3 linked regions of the Neurospora crassa OR74A genome follow. The protein of the gene in region 1 purifies or fractionates together with the protein of each later gene. This does not show direct contact. Links are inferred from orthologs where the notes say so. Each region holds a gene or a part of one and is shown on either strand. Other genes may lie near its edges.

What was found. The genes of interacting proteins can lie anywhere in the genome.
Region 2: the proteins of rpn-1 (region 1) and rpn-8 purify together in Saccharomyces cerevisiae (affinity purification with mass spectrometry; 6 studies listed by BioGRID, with this or other methods). This does not show direct contact. The link is inferred for Neurospora crassa OR74A from reciprocal best matches to the Saccharomyces cerevisiae genes RPN1 and RPN8.
Region 3: the proteins of rpn-1 (region 1) and rpn-12 purify together in Saccharomyces cerevisiae (affinity purification with mass spectrometry; 6 studies listed by BioGRID, with this or other methods). This does not show direct contact. The link is inferred for Neurospora crassa OR74A from reciprocal best matches to the Saccharomyces cerevisiae genes RPN1 and RPN12.

Annotation. Positions count from the first base shown.
Region 1 is NC_026504.1:2,086,568-2,090,700, forward strand, and holds the start of rpn-1 (26S proteasome regulatory subunit rpn1), read left to right. Parts: upstream 1-1,333; 5' UTR 1,334-1,716; coding exon 1,717-1,846; intron 1,847-1,918; coding exon 1,919-1,989; intron 1,990-2,055; coding exon 2,056-4,133. Other genes in the region: rbg-40 (serine/threonine-protein kinase RIO2), read right to left, coding at 1-873.
Region 2 is NC_026502.1:3,116,809-3,121,125, forward strand, and holds rpn-8 (26S proteasome regulatory subunit rpn-8), read left to right. Parts: upstream 1-1,233; 5' UTR 1,234-1,502; coding exon 1,503-1,692; intron 1,693-1,769; coding exon 1,770-2,041; intron 2,042-2,137; coding exon 2,138-2,734; 3' UTR 2,735-3,034; downstream 3,035-4,317. Other genes in the region: NCU01548 (hypothetical protein), read right to left, coding at 304-313, 395-493, 552-733; NCU16568 (hypothetical protein), read right to left, coding at 3,035-4,317. UniProt on the Saccharomyces cerevisiae protein: Acts as a regulatory subunit of the 26S proteasome which is involved in the ATP-dependent degradation of ubiquitinated proteins.
Region 3 is NC_026507.1:2,809,622-2,813,966, forward strand, and holds rpn-12 (26S proteasome non-ATPase regulatory subunit 8), read left to right. Parts: upstream 1-1,409; 5' UTR 1,410-1,764; coding exon 1,765-2,352; intron 2,353-2,496; coding exon 2,497-2,778; 3' UTR 2,779-3,093; downstream 3,094-4,345. Other genes in the region: NCU10066 (coatomer alpha subunit), read right to left, coding at 3,259-3,501, 3,574-4,345. UniProt on the Saccharomyces cerevisiae protein: Acts as a regulatory subunit of the 26S proteasome which is involved in the ATP-dependent degradation of ubiquitinated proteins. Necessary for activation of the CDC28 kinase.

The DNA of each region.
Region 1 (4,133 bases):
CCTCTTGATGCATTCGACATCGCGGTCAAAGTACATCTCGGCGTTTACGTGGTCCATAGACACCATTTGTGGGAAGTCGATAATGACTGGGACAAGGGTTACCGTCTCCGTCTCCTTCTCCTCGCCGTCCTCGATCGTGTACTTGGTGGTCCGCTCCTCTTTGATCAAAATGTTGAACTCGTTGAAATCACCATGGATGAGCCCGTGCTTGGCCAATCGAAGGATGAGGTCGATAAGCTCAGCGTAGAGGCTCGCGGGGTCTGGAACCGAGGAGACCTGTCTAAGTGGTAGGGACTCGACCAGGCTCATGACGATAGTGTGTCGGGACTGGGAAATCGGTTCGGGAACGGGAAAGCCTTCTTCTTGGAGAGCCTGCATGAAGGCATATTCCTTCATGGCCGCAAGCCGCGAGAGATACATCCATGAGCCGCCTTGCCGGTTGCGCAAGTAGTCGCGGTTGGACTTGACGGTACGGAAGGAAATGCGGCCTAGGCGATGGATCTTGAGAATCTTCTGCTTGCCGGTCTTGTCGGCTACGATCATGATGTCGGATTCCTTGCCAACACCCACACGACTGCCAACGCTGTAGACGACATCTTTCGAGGAGTGGGTGTGTAGGGCCAGATAGTCAAGACCGCCGTAGGTCAGTCGGTAGCCGTCGTACTTGGCCTCCTTCATGCGTCCGATGAGGCCAGACTTGGCAAGGGTCGCTATGCTCTTGTGAACACCACTGGCACCGCCCTTGAGACGGGCAATTCTCTCGATCAGAGGGGTCGGGACGAGCTCGTGGTTCTTGCTGCCCATCTCAACGGCAGTCAAGACTCTCCAGTCTTCTGCCGTGAGATGGCGTAAAACTCTGGTGTCCAAAAACATGATTGTGTGTTTCTTTTTGGATGTTTTTTGTTTTTTCCCCTCAGGTGATTGTCGGCCTAATTGCTGTGAGAGATTTTCTGATGTTGTATTGATCCAAGAGAGCTATTAGGTTGCTGTCTACGACGCTCTCGTCAAAGTCAAAGTCAAGGTGGGTGAAGCGCAAAGCTGATGTCCAGAATGGAAAGTGGGCGTCCCCCAAATTCCAAATGCACGGTTGCGATAACATCTTCCCGATAAGATAGGGCTGGCCGTGGGCTCCATTCGCTGAGCTGTGCCTGCCCGGTCAAGCGCCAGGTCCAGGCCAGTAGCTTATCTTATCAGAAGCTTGGGGGGAGCGGAATTTGTATCTTCCAGGCTCTGATGACGCCTCGTCCCCACCGAGGCTTCCAGACCCACTTGAGGCGGGCAGCATTGGATCGCAGGGGCGTTCTCAGCCAGACGGGGGAGCTTCAGGCGGCAAGCGAGTCGCGTAACCACCATCGGAGCTCCCTGGCGTTAGTACCGTAACTGCCACTGACCTTTGCTGGCTTTCAGCAACTGAGGTGCTTCTGGGCGAACCTGCAAAAGCTCCAACCTCCAAAACCGTCACCTGAACAACATAACAACCTCCAAACAACCGCAGCCAGCTCATCCACTTTTGATTTTGACATTCTGCTCACGACTGGAGCTCAAGTTCCTGTCGCTCAAGCAAACTCGGTGACAAAACTTGAACATTTCTTGCAGCAGCGAACGCCACCGCCGCGTCCACCTACCCCGGCCAGCCCAACCGACCTTGGTTTCCCCTCCAACTGGACCCATCGGCTCCGCGAATCCTCCCACCTACAACCATCACGGCCAGTAATCATGGCGCAAGAAAGCGACCTGTCCAAGACGGCCGATAAGGGCAAGGGAAAGGCCGTCGATGACGAGAAGAAGCACCAAGATGTCGATGGAAAGACCCCCGCAAACGGAAAGAAGGAGGAGGAACAGAATGGTGGGTTTCTCGGCCACTCCGACCGACTTGAGGTATCGGCGCCGGGCTTCTGCTGACAGCGCTTTGCGTTAGCTTCCGAGGAACTCAGTGAAGAGGATCAGCAGCTCAAGAGCGAGCTTGAGATGCTCGTTGAGCGGCTAACGGTTGGTGCTTCGCAATGACGTGATACAGGCTGAAGACCGGCTTCTCTAACAGTACAATGTCTTCAGGAATCCGATGCGACCCTCTACAAGCCGGCCCTCGAGGCCATGAAGAACTCTATCAAGACATCCACATCCTCCATGACGGCGGTACCGAAGCCGCTCAAGTTCCTGCGCCCGCATTATGAAACCATGACGAAACTCTACGACGAGTGGCCCGCTGGCGATGATAAGTCATCTCTCGCAGATGTTCTATCGGTGATCGGTATGACATACTCGGACGAGGACCGCCAGGATACTCTGAAATACAGACTTCTTTCCCCAACACAGGACATTGGCTCGTGGGGTCATGAGTACGTTCGCCATCTCGCCCTCGAGATTGGCGAGGTCTACGCCAAGCGCATAGCCAATGATGAGCCGACTCAAGAGCTGGTCGATCTTGCCCTGGTTCTGGTGCCGCTCTTCCTCAAGAGCAACGCTGAAGCCGATGCCGTCGATCTGATGAGTGAGCTCGAGATCATCGAGGAGCTTCCCAAGTTTCTCGACGAGAACACCTATTCGAGAGTCTGCCTGTACATGGTCTCCATGGTCAACCTCCTAACCTATCCTGACAACGAGACGTTCCTTCGCGTGGCGCACAGCATCTACAAGAAATACAACCAGCACACCCAAGCCATGGTGCTTGCGATTAGACTCAACGATCTTGGACTCATCGAGAAAGATTTCGAGGCGGCGGACGAGGATCCTGCGCTTCGCAAGCAGCTCGCTTTCCTTATCGCGCGCCAGGGCATTCCATTGGAGTTTGAAAGGAGCAATGATGACGACGAAAAGATCTACGAGTGCCTTTCCAACCAGAAGCTGTCGGAGTATTTCAAGTCGCTCGGGAAGGAACTCAACATCTTGGAGCCAAAAACGACTGAGGATATTTACAAGAGCCACCTCGAAAGCAGCCGTGTTGCTGGTATGACCAACTTTGATTCTGCCCGACACAATCTTGCCGCCGGCTTCGTCAACGCTTTTGTCAATGCCGGCTTTGGGAGTGACAAGATGATGCTCGTTGGTAAAGACAAGGACAGCTGGGTGTGGAAGACCAAGGATGAGGGTATGATGTCTACAGTGGCGTCGCTGGGAACCCTGCTCCTTTGGGACGTCGAGAACGGTCTTGACCACGTCGACAAGTATACTTATCTCGAGGAGGAGCAAATCCAAGCTGGCGCATACCTCGCGATCGGTATCATGAATACTAACGTTAGGACGGACTCCGAGCCCGCGATGGCCCTGTTGGCTGATCCCGACAAGCTTGCGCACAAGAACCCGCTCATCCGCGTAGCTACCATTATGGGTCTCGGACTGGCATACGCAGGGTCCTGCAAGGAGGAGCTTCTCTCGTTCTTGGTCAACATTATCAGCGACCCTGAGGAGAGCATGCAGGTGTCGGCTATGGCTGCCCTGGCCTGCGGTATGATCTTTGTCGGCTCCTCCAATTCCGAAGTCAGCGAGGCCATCGTGACTACCTTGTTGGACGAAGAAAGTGGAAGCCGCCTCAATGACAAATGGTCCAGGTTCCTTGCGCTTGGCTTGGGTCTCCTCTATTTTGGTCGCCAGGAACAGGTGGACGTTATTCTTGAGACGTTGAAGGCGGTTGAGCACCCTATGGCGAAGCCAACTGCTGTTCTTGCTGAGATTTGCGCCTGGGCTGGCACCGGTGCCGTCCTCAAGATTCAGGAGCTCCTTCACATTTGCAACGAGCACATTGAGGATGGAGAGGAGAAGAAGGGCGAGGAGTTGCTTCAGGCCTATGCCGTTCTGGGTATTGGCTTGATTGCCATGGGCGAAGATGTTGGACAGGAAATGGTTCTCCGCCATTTTGGTCACCTTATGCACTACGGCGAAGCTAACATCCGACGAGCGGTGCCGCTGGCTATGGGTCTTATCAGCCCCAGCAACCCTCAAATGAAGGTTTACGACACTCTGTCACGGTACAGCCACGACAATGACAATGAAGTGGCCATCAACGCCATTTTTGCTATGGGTCTCCTGGGTGCCGGTACGAACAACGCTAGACTTGCCCAGCTGCTCCGTCAGCTGGCTAGCTACTATCACAGAGATCAGGAGTCTTTGTTCATGGTCCGTATCGCACAAGGTCT
Region 2 (4,317 bases), on another chromosome or scaffold:
CGTATGATGACAGTACCAGGTTCTTGAGTTCCTGAGACCCAAACCTCGACGCTTCATGACCATGATGTTGATAAACACATAATCTATTGAACGTAAAGATGCTTGCCAAACGTTGGGACATTGAGCCCGTCCGTCAGATGTTGATATCATGACAGTCCATCTCCATCAATCCATTTCCAAAAACGCCAAGACCATGACTTACAGTCGGTAAAAGGCAACAACTTTGCCCAGTACAGTTGCACCTGGGTATCATTTCCAACACACTCTCTTTCGGTCTCTCTTTCTCTCTGACACCGTCGTACCTCAGATGTCGCTGTGTAGACTCGAATGGTTAATTTTCTTTTGTTGTCTGCGCTCGTCCCAGGTGTCGCCAAACAATCAGCTGGCCGCTTACAACGTGCTGACGACCTTGTCCTCCTCGATAGTGGCATAGCTCTCGCTGGAGGCGGAAACCGACTCGAGTGTCTTTGCGTTAACCTTGGCAGAGAAGCCCCTGGATAAAAGGGTTAGCAAGAACACCCGAACCAACATGACGGTGTCCGAAAGCATACTTCATAAGGGTGTACTCGTGGGTAATGACGCCACCGTCATCGAGAATGGCCTTCTTGTCCTGCTGAATCACCGAGTCGGGAGTGTTCTCCTTGTAGGTGATGATGACCGACTTCTGGATGTCAACGGCAATGGCGCCGGAGACGAGGGCAAGGGCGCCGAGAATGAGACCGGAGAACTTCATGTTTGAGATAGATTTTGGTTATTTTTCTTTCTTTGAGGTTATGTTGGGCCGGACGGGTAGAGGTAAGTATAAAGTATGGCGTCACGTTGTTGGGCAGACGACGGATGGATAGGTGTACGGATGGGTTCGTTCGAATTAAAAGGCGGGAGGATCCCTCGACTTTATGCCGATCCTAGGTCTCTGTCAGAGGCGCAACGACCAAAAGGGTGTCATGACACGCGCCAAGGAGTCTTCCAGCGCATAAAGAGACCCCCCTTTCTGCGGTCTCAACTTCCTCAGGAGGAAGGTCGCTATAAAAGCCCCTGTAAGTTCAGGCGGAGGGTACAGACTGCGTACCTAGTACCTCTAGTATTCGTACCGGCTACTGATTAGATAAGCCCTTTGTTATGTCACCGCGGCAGTGGCACAGGACAGAAGGCTGAGGCCCCACCGCCCAACTCAAGTTCAAGTGGAAGGTACTAGGCGCTAACCTGATTGGGTACTCACCTTCCAGCAAGTGAGGCAGCTAGCCAGTGACGACGGCGAGACCAGACCACTGCAACTACAGCAGTTGGAGCTTCGAGGCCACTAACAACTGACGCGGGATACTTGCTTGCTATACGTACATCGACGACCAAAACATCCATCATACCCTCCAGCCCGCCTTCCTTCTTCTACCCCACGAAATACCACCCGACCTCCCGCCACGCCCACCAAACACACCAGCCATCACGCCTCCGACGACGACGACGACAACGACGACGACGACGCCTCGAATCCAGCTCTCGCCATGCCCGCCACTACTGCGGAAACGCTCTCCCTGGTGAACCGCAGCGTCTCGGTTGCGCCGCTGGTTCTGCTCTCAGTTGTCGACCACTACAACCGTACCCAAGCCAACAAGTCCAAGAGCAAGCGTGTCGTCGGCGTGCTATTAGGCCAGAATGATGGAAAGAATGTTCGCGTGTCCAACAGTTTCGCGGGTGCGTAGTCTCTGCTGCGGAAGCTTGCCTGGTTGCCCCGCGCCCAGGTGAATATTCGGCTAACTCTGGTGATGCAGTTCCCTTCGAGGAGGACGACAAGGACCCCTCAGTCTGGTTCCTTGACCACAACTACGTCGAGTCCATGAACGACATGTTCAAGAAGGTCAATGCGCGCGAGAAGCTAATAGGCTGGTACCATTCCGGCCCCAAGCTACGGGCTTCCGATCTCGACATCAACGAGCTGTTCAAGCGCTACACTCCCAACCCGCTTCTGGTTATTGTCGATGTCCAGCCCAAGGAGACGGGCGTTCCTACAGATGCCTATTTTGCCGTTGACGAGATCAAGGATGTATGTCTTTTAGAAACGCCGTCGCGTTTCCACTTGTTCCTACTCAGCCTCGTCCAAGTTACAGCTGCTAACTATACTTGTGTGTGACTACCACAGGACGGCACCACTACATCCAAGACTTTTGTCCACACTCCCTCCATCATCGAGGCCGAAGAGGCCGAGGAAATCGGCGTCGAGCACCTCCTTCGCGACATCCGTGACGTAGCCGTCGGCACACTATCCACTCGCATCACCAACCAGATGCGCTCGCTGCAAGGCCTCCACCACCGCCTCCGCGACATCCAAGCATATCTCCAAAAGGTCCTTGACGGCCAGCTGCCCGTAAACCACGCCATCCTCGGCAACCTCCAGGACGTCTTCAACTTGCTCCCCAACCTCTCGACGCCCAAGTCCGGTCCAGGCGCTACTGGAACCAACGCCGACAGCGAGCTCAACCACGCCATGAGCATCAAGACCAACGACCAGCTCATGGCCATCTACCTCAGCAGTCTGATCCGCGCCATCACTGCGTTCCACGACCTGATCGAGAACAAGATCCAGAACAGGCAGCAGCAGGAGGAGAACGACGCCAAGAAGAAGGAGGGAGAAAACGGCGAGAAAAAGGAGGGCGCCGACAAGAAGGAGGGTAGCCCGGCGGCGGCAAATGGTGAAAGCAAGGAGAAGGAGAACAGTCCGAAAGAGAAGAAGAAATAAGCGAGACGTGACGAAGTGAAAGAGGGAACAGGAAGGCGAGCAACGGGGTGGATGACGGGGCGCAACGGACCCGGCCGTAGATGATACGAAATCAATCAAATCAGCATGAATCACGTTTGTGTACGGAATCAAACATAAGAGAGACACTTTCACACATAGAAAGAGGGCTGCTCAAGGTCAAGGATGGGATCTTGGGCGATTGTTAATAATACTATTTTACTAACAAGTTGGTTTGTTGACTGCGGTTCGCCAGTAACAGAAAAACTACCTGTCTATCACAGACCCTCTACTCTAGACTTACTATACATCAGCAACAATGCCGGCCATTTCCTCTCTACTCACCATCCGCTCTGTCACATACCTCCCCAACGCCCTCGTCCACTTATCAGCCAACAGACAGGCCAGCAGGTGTTTGCAAACGGGCGGTACGCTCGAGTGATCTCCGACATTGAAGAGGGTCATCCCGCCAAAGGTCCAGCCTGCACTTCCTTTGTTGTCTCTTTCTCTCTTTTCTTGTAGCTCTTCTCCTCCTGTTTCTTTTGCATCATCTCCTGCTTCTGCCTCCGAGACACACGCAAACGCAAACGCAGCGCAGGTACAGTTCCATGCCTCCAGGCTAACCATGTACCGCTGTATTCGGTAGTCTCGCTCTCGGTCTGCTTCGCCGCCGCCACCACCTGATGGGATACCCTCGGTGTCTGCTGCGTCTCCATACAGCCCGGAGAGATTGCTACTTGGATACTTTCGTTTCCGCTTCGGGTGGACGTTGAGGAACTGGGAAGAGCGTACCAGATAGAACTCTGGAGGTGGCCGTGGCCGGGGATGATGTTCGACTTTTGCTTCTGTCGTGGACTCCTCCTCCACCAGTAGTGACTTGTGGTGGTGGTTTTTCTTTTTAGCCTTTCCACCATCCTTGGTCTCATCCTCAGCCGCCGGCGGCGGACTTGTTACATCCCCGTCGTCGTCGTCGTCGTCGTCGTCGTCGTCGTCGTCGTCGTTCTTCTTGTTGTCGTCGTCCCCTTCTTCCATGACCACATCCACATCCATATTCATATTCTCTTCTTTCATCTGCTCCTTCTGCCTCCCTTCCTCCTCTTCCTCCTCCTCCTCCTCCTCCTTCTTCTTCTTCTCTTTCACTAGCGCTGCCGCTACCCCCTCCCCAGCAGCACACCTCCTCAAAATGACCCGTTCAACCAACCCCCGCTCCAAAACCTCCAACCCTGGCAACACCACCCCCGGAAAGAGGACATGTAGGGTGATGATCAAATGTCGGTATTCAGGCGGTACCAGCTTAAGGGGATTCGCTTGACCTCCAGCAGGAATCTTTATCTTGTTCATGTTCTTCTTGTTCCTGATGGTTACGTCATCATCATCATCATCTTCATCTTCTTCTTCTTCTTTCTTCCCTTCGTCACCTTCCTCTTTGAGGATCTGGAGTAGTTGTTTCCTCCTGATTGTCGTTTCTGTTTCTTCTGTTGCTGGTGGTACATCGGCGGCTTTGGGTTGAGGTTTGGACCCGGGCCCGGGTGCGGGTTTGTGTATCTGGATAGGTGGCTCGTCGAGCAGAGGAATGTTGGAGATGG
Region 3 (4,345 bases), on another chromosome or scaffold:
TATAATTATACTTATTCTATATAATATTAATATTAATTATAGTAATTCAATTCGCAAATAGAAGCGGCTTAATTTTAAGTAATCTAATAATATATATAACGCTCGCGATTATTATAATATTAATAAGAATAAAGTTATTATAAGAATAATTTAAGGACGAATTTAAATTAGGACCGGCAAATATTTTTTAAGGAGGGGGCTCAATAATAGCGGAGATTATATAAATTATTTAAGATTTTCTTACAATTACTATTACTACCCGAAGTAGCTTCGTAATAGCGGGTACTGTTACTAAAAATAATTTTATAATAAAAGGGACTATAGGGGTTGCCCGAAATAGAATATTAGACACTTTAATAAACGAATTAATAAGCAATAAAAATAAAAATAGACAATCTTAGTAGAATAACCGCTTTACCTTCTATACTAATGTAGGCCGGTAAACGGAAGATATTCGTATCTCTTTATCCTTATTATTTTTAATTATATTAATTATTATATTTATAAATAAATCCCCTATATTATCCCCCTCCTTTTTATCCTCCTCCTTATCCTCCTCTTTATCCTCCTCTTTATCTTCCTTATTATTATCCTCTATAAATTCTTATTCTTACTCATCCTCCTTATTATTATCCTCTACAAACTCTTACTCTTACTCATCCTCCTACCCTTATCCATCATCCAAACTAATCCTAAAATAAATATTAAAAATTTTAATCGTCTTTAAGGGAGGGCGCTTAAACTTAAATAGAATAATCCTTAGACTATATTTCGAAGTCGGCGTTAGGGTCTTTAATATAATCTTACAGGAGCTAAACAGCTTAGGCGCAACAATATTCTTCTTAGAAGGCAGCTTCTTTAGGATAAGAGCAGCCTTAGAAGTTAGCTTAGAAGTAGGAACAACAAGGGCAACCTTCTTTACAATCTTAAGAATAACCTTCTTTAGAGTAGGAATAGGTTCGACGGAGGGGGTAATAGCCTTACTTTTACCCTTCGAATTAACAGTAGGAAGCCTTACTTCCTCCAGCTCGGACTTAAAGTCCGCTACTTTATAACTCTTTTTACATTACTATAGAGGGTTCTTCCTTATAAGAGAGGATAATAGAAGTTATAAATCGTTAACAGCTTTACAATCCCGGTCAATATCCACCGCCTAACTAATATAATACTTCCTACCGAACGCTACGACGGCGGCGGCGGTAGCGGCAACCCGGGGGTCGGTCTTCTTAGTAGTAGTACAAAATATAATAAATTACAGCAGGTAATTACGGGCGCACAAGTATAAATAGCTTCGTTGTTAATAGAATTAATTGATTTTGACTATCTACCAGGCTCGCCAGCGACTCGACAGCTAGCCAGATGATGGGGGTGCAAAGAGGGTCTGGCGTTTGGCGGTGGATACGAGGGTCTGGCGTTTGGCGGTGGGAACGTGACGCCCCCAAGACAGCGAGCATCCAACCTTCAGCCTCGACACCAAACTACGTACCTACATCCACTGCCTCGTTTCCCATGACAAGCCATAACTATCAACAAAATCCCGTCGACAAGCCATAAACCATCGCCGGTCTATTTAGTACCACAACAATATCCACTCGGAATCAGAATACACATACGCGACGCATTTACCCAACCATCACATCCACTTGCCGCCCGCGATAGCTTCAACAACCACCTAGAAGCTAAAACAACAAACGAACCTCGACGTGCGGCAACCCCAGATTATCACCACCACAACACCACAACCAGACACCACAACCGCCCAACATGGCAGAACGACAACTCACCCAAATCCTCACCCAACTCCAGACCTCCGCCTCCTCCCTCTCCTACACCGACTCCTCCGCCCTCCTCTCCAAAGCCAAGCTCTTGCTCCTCCAACTCAACGCGCTGACCCCGACCGCGCCCGGCTCCGCTTCCAACCCCTCCCTCTTCTCTCTCGCCCGCCAAGTCTACGAGCAAGGTGCCCTGGCCTCGATCCGCGCCAAGAACCCCGACGCCTTTTTGCGCTACGTCAGCCAGCTCCAAGGGTTCTACGAGCTCGAGAGTACTGTCGGTACCGGTGCCGCTGGTGGCAGGATTGCCGGTGCGGACGCAAACAGGGAGGAGAAGAACAAGGTCACGGGCTTGTATCTGCTGCTGCTGTTGACGCAGGGACAGTATGCCGAGTTCCATAGCGAGCTGGAGGCGCTGAGCACGAGGCTGGGTGGCGCGACGCGCGAGCTGGAGGCGGATAGATATCTCGGGTATCCCATCAAGCTGGAGAGGTGGCTGATGGAGGGGAGCTATGATCGTGTGTGGAAGGCAATGAAGAAGGGCGAGGTTCCTTGTGAGGAGTATGGAGTTTTTTCCGAGGTTCGTGGGTTTTCTTTTATTGCGTCTTGCTTTCTCTACCTTTTCCCCCTAGGTCCTTCTCTCTCGCTCTCCCCCAAGCAACGATATCACGATTAACTATCTGTACCACATCAATCACTAACCACCGCATCTTACTGTCAACAGATCCTCACTTTCCAAATCCGCTCCGAAATCGCCTCCTCCTCCGAGCGCGCCTACCCCTCGCTTCCCATCTCCTCCACCAAGTCGCTCCTCTTCCTCGAGTCCGAGGGCGAAGTGGTCGAGTTCGCCCGCTCCCGCGGCTGGGTACTCAAGGACGGCCACATCTACTTCCCGTCTGCTGAGCCGACGACGGAGGAGGCCGGTGCCGAGCAGGAGAAGCCCTTCAGCCGGTTGATCATTGAGAATACGCTGGGCTATGCTAGGGAGTTGGAGACGATCGTCTAAACAGTAGAAAAACAACAAAGTGGCTGGCCGGTGTGGTATGGGTTGGGTTGGGTTGGTTTATGCAAGCGTTCTTAAACGATGGTCCTTAGAGATCTAGCTACATAGGCAGAACAGAGGCCACGTACAGATACACTACTTAACATTGTGTTCCATGTGTCGCCTATATGTATACAAAAACATGATACATAATATTACGGCTTGCGTCTGGCATGGTATTATCTAACTGACAATTCATGCGACCACGACTTTCTGTTCGGATTATAGCACACGAACTTACTTGGTAGCAGGCAGTAATTGTTATGCAACAGGCGCGTCCAAAATGGTTTTGTCTTTCCTTTTCTCTTCTCCCCTGTTCTTCCTGCAGAAGAAAGCAAGAAACGCGATCATTATACCTACTTTGACTGTACTTTAACTACTACTTTACTTGTCATCAAAACCCCCATCATCGTGTAGCGCCAACCGCATACAAACCCACCCCTTTTAAGCAAACAGCTTCAGGCCACTACCGTGCTTTCCGACCTCGCAAACCTCGCAGACTGTGCACACCGTGCCCTTGTACTTGGTGTGGTACTTGGCTCCGTCAAATGCGCACTCCTCGTAAGGGGTACCGCTGTAGATGGGCGTGAAGCTGGCAGCGCAGATCTCAAACTCGGCAAACTGATCGAACTCGATCTCCACGGCGTCATGGGGGTTGCGCTCGCATTGCGCCTTGGTTCTCTTGGCCTGTTATTTTCAAATATGTCAGTGTCTCTACCAAAGGAGCAAAAGGATAAGGTTATGTAGGTTATCACTTACACTCTCGGTGATCTTGGTGGCTCCTCCGTTGGCCAATATCCTGTTAGCGAAGCTAAGGGCAGAGCTGTAGTTCTTGCTCCGCACAGCCAGGTTCATTGCGTTAAGCAAGGCAAGCTGGCGATGGGGAACCTCGATCTTGGGAATGGTGAAGTAGGCCGACAGTTCCAAGCTCCGCTTCTGGAGCGAGGGATCGCTGTTGACCTGGTCCGGAGAACCGAGTTGCCTGCGGGCCAGCTCAATGGACATGGCAACCGAGTACTCGCAGGCTGAAGCGATGAGCTTCTTGGCCTCAGCCACCTCCCCATCACTGCCTACAGCGTTGACAAGGACGGAGTGCAGAATGCCCTTAAAGATCTTGACACCATCCTCGAGCTTGTTCGCCCTCATCGCGTCATAACCGCGCTGCAGGTCATTAGAAGCAAGGTACTCGAGGTCCCTGGGGATGATAGGGAGAACCTTCCTGGGATCCGTCTCCTCGGGATTCCTGCGGACGTAGTTGACGAGAGGGTCCAGGCTAGCCGCGGCGGGGAGATAAGTCTTGGATGCCTGGTAAACCTCCAAGAAGCGAGGCTTGAGCGGAGCAAAGTTGACAGCGCCAACCTGGCGGTTGAGCAGCTGCATTGCCGACTCAAAGGAACCACCAGCGACGTGATCAACTGCGAGCGGTGAGTTCCGGGACCACAGATCCGCTTCACTGCTTGCAGCACCGCCGGCATCCGCGCTTTCCACGTTGACGAAGCCCTCCTCGACTTCCGGAACAATGTCATCGCCC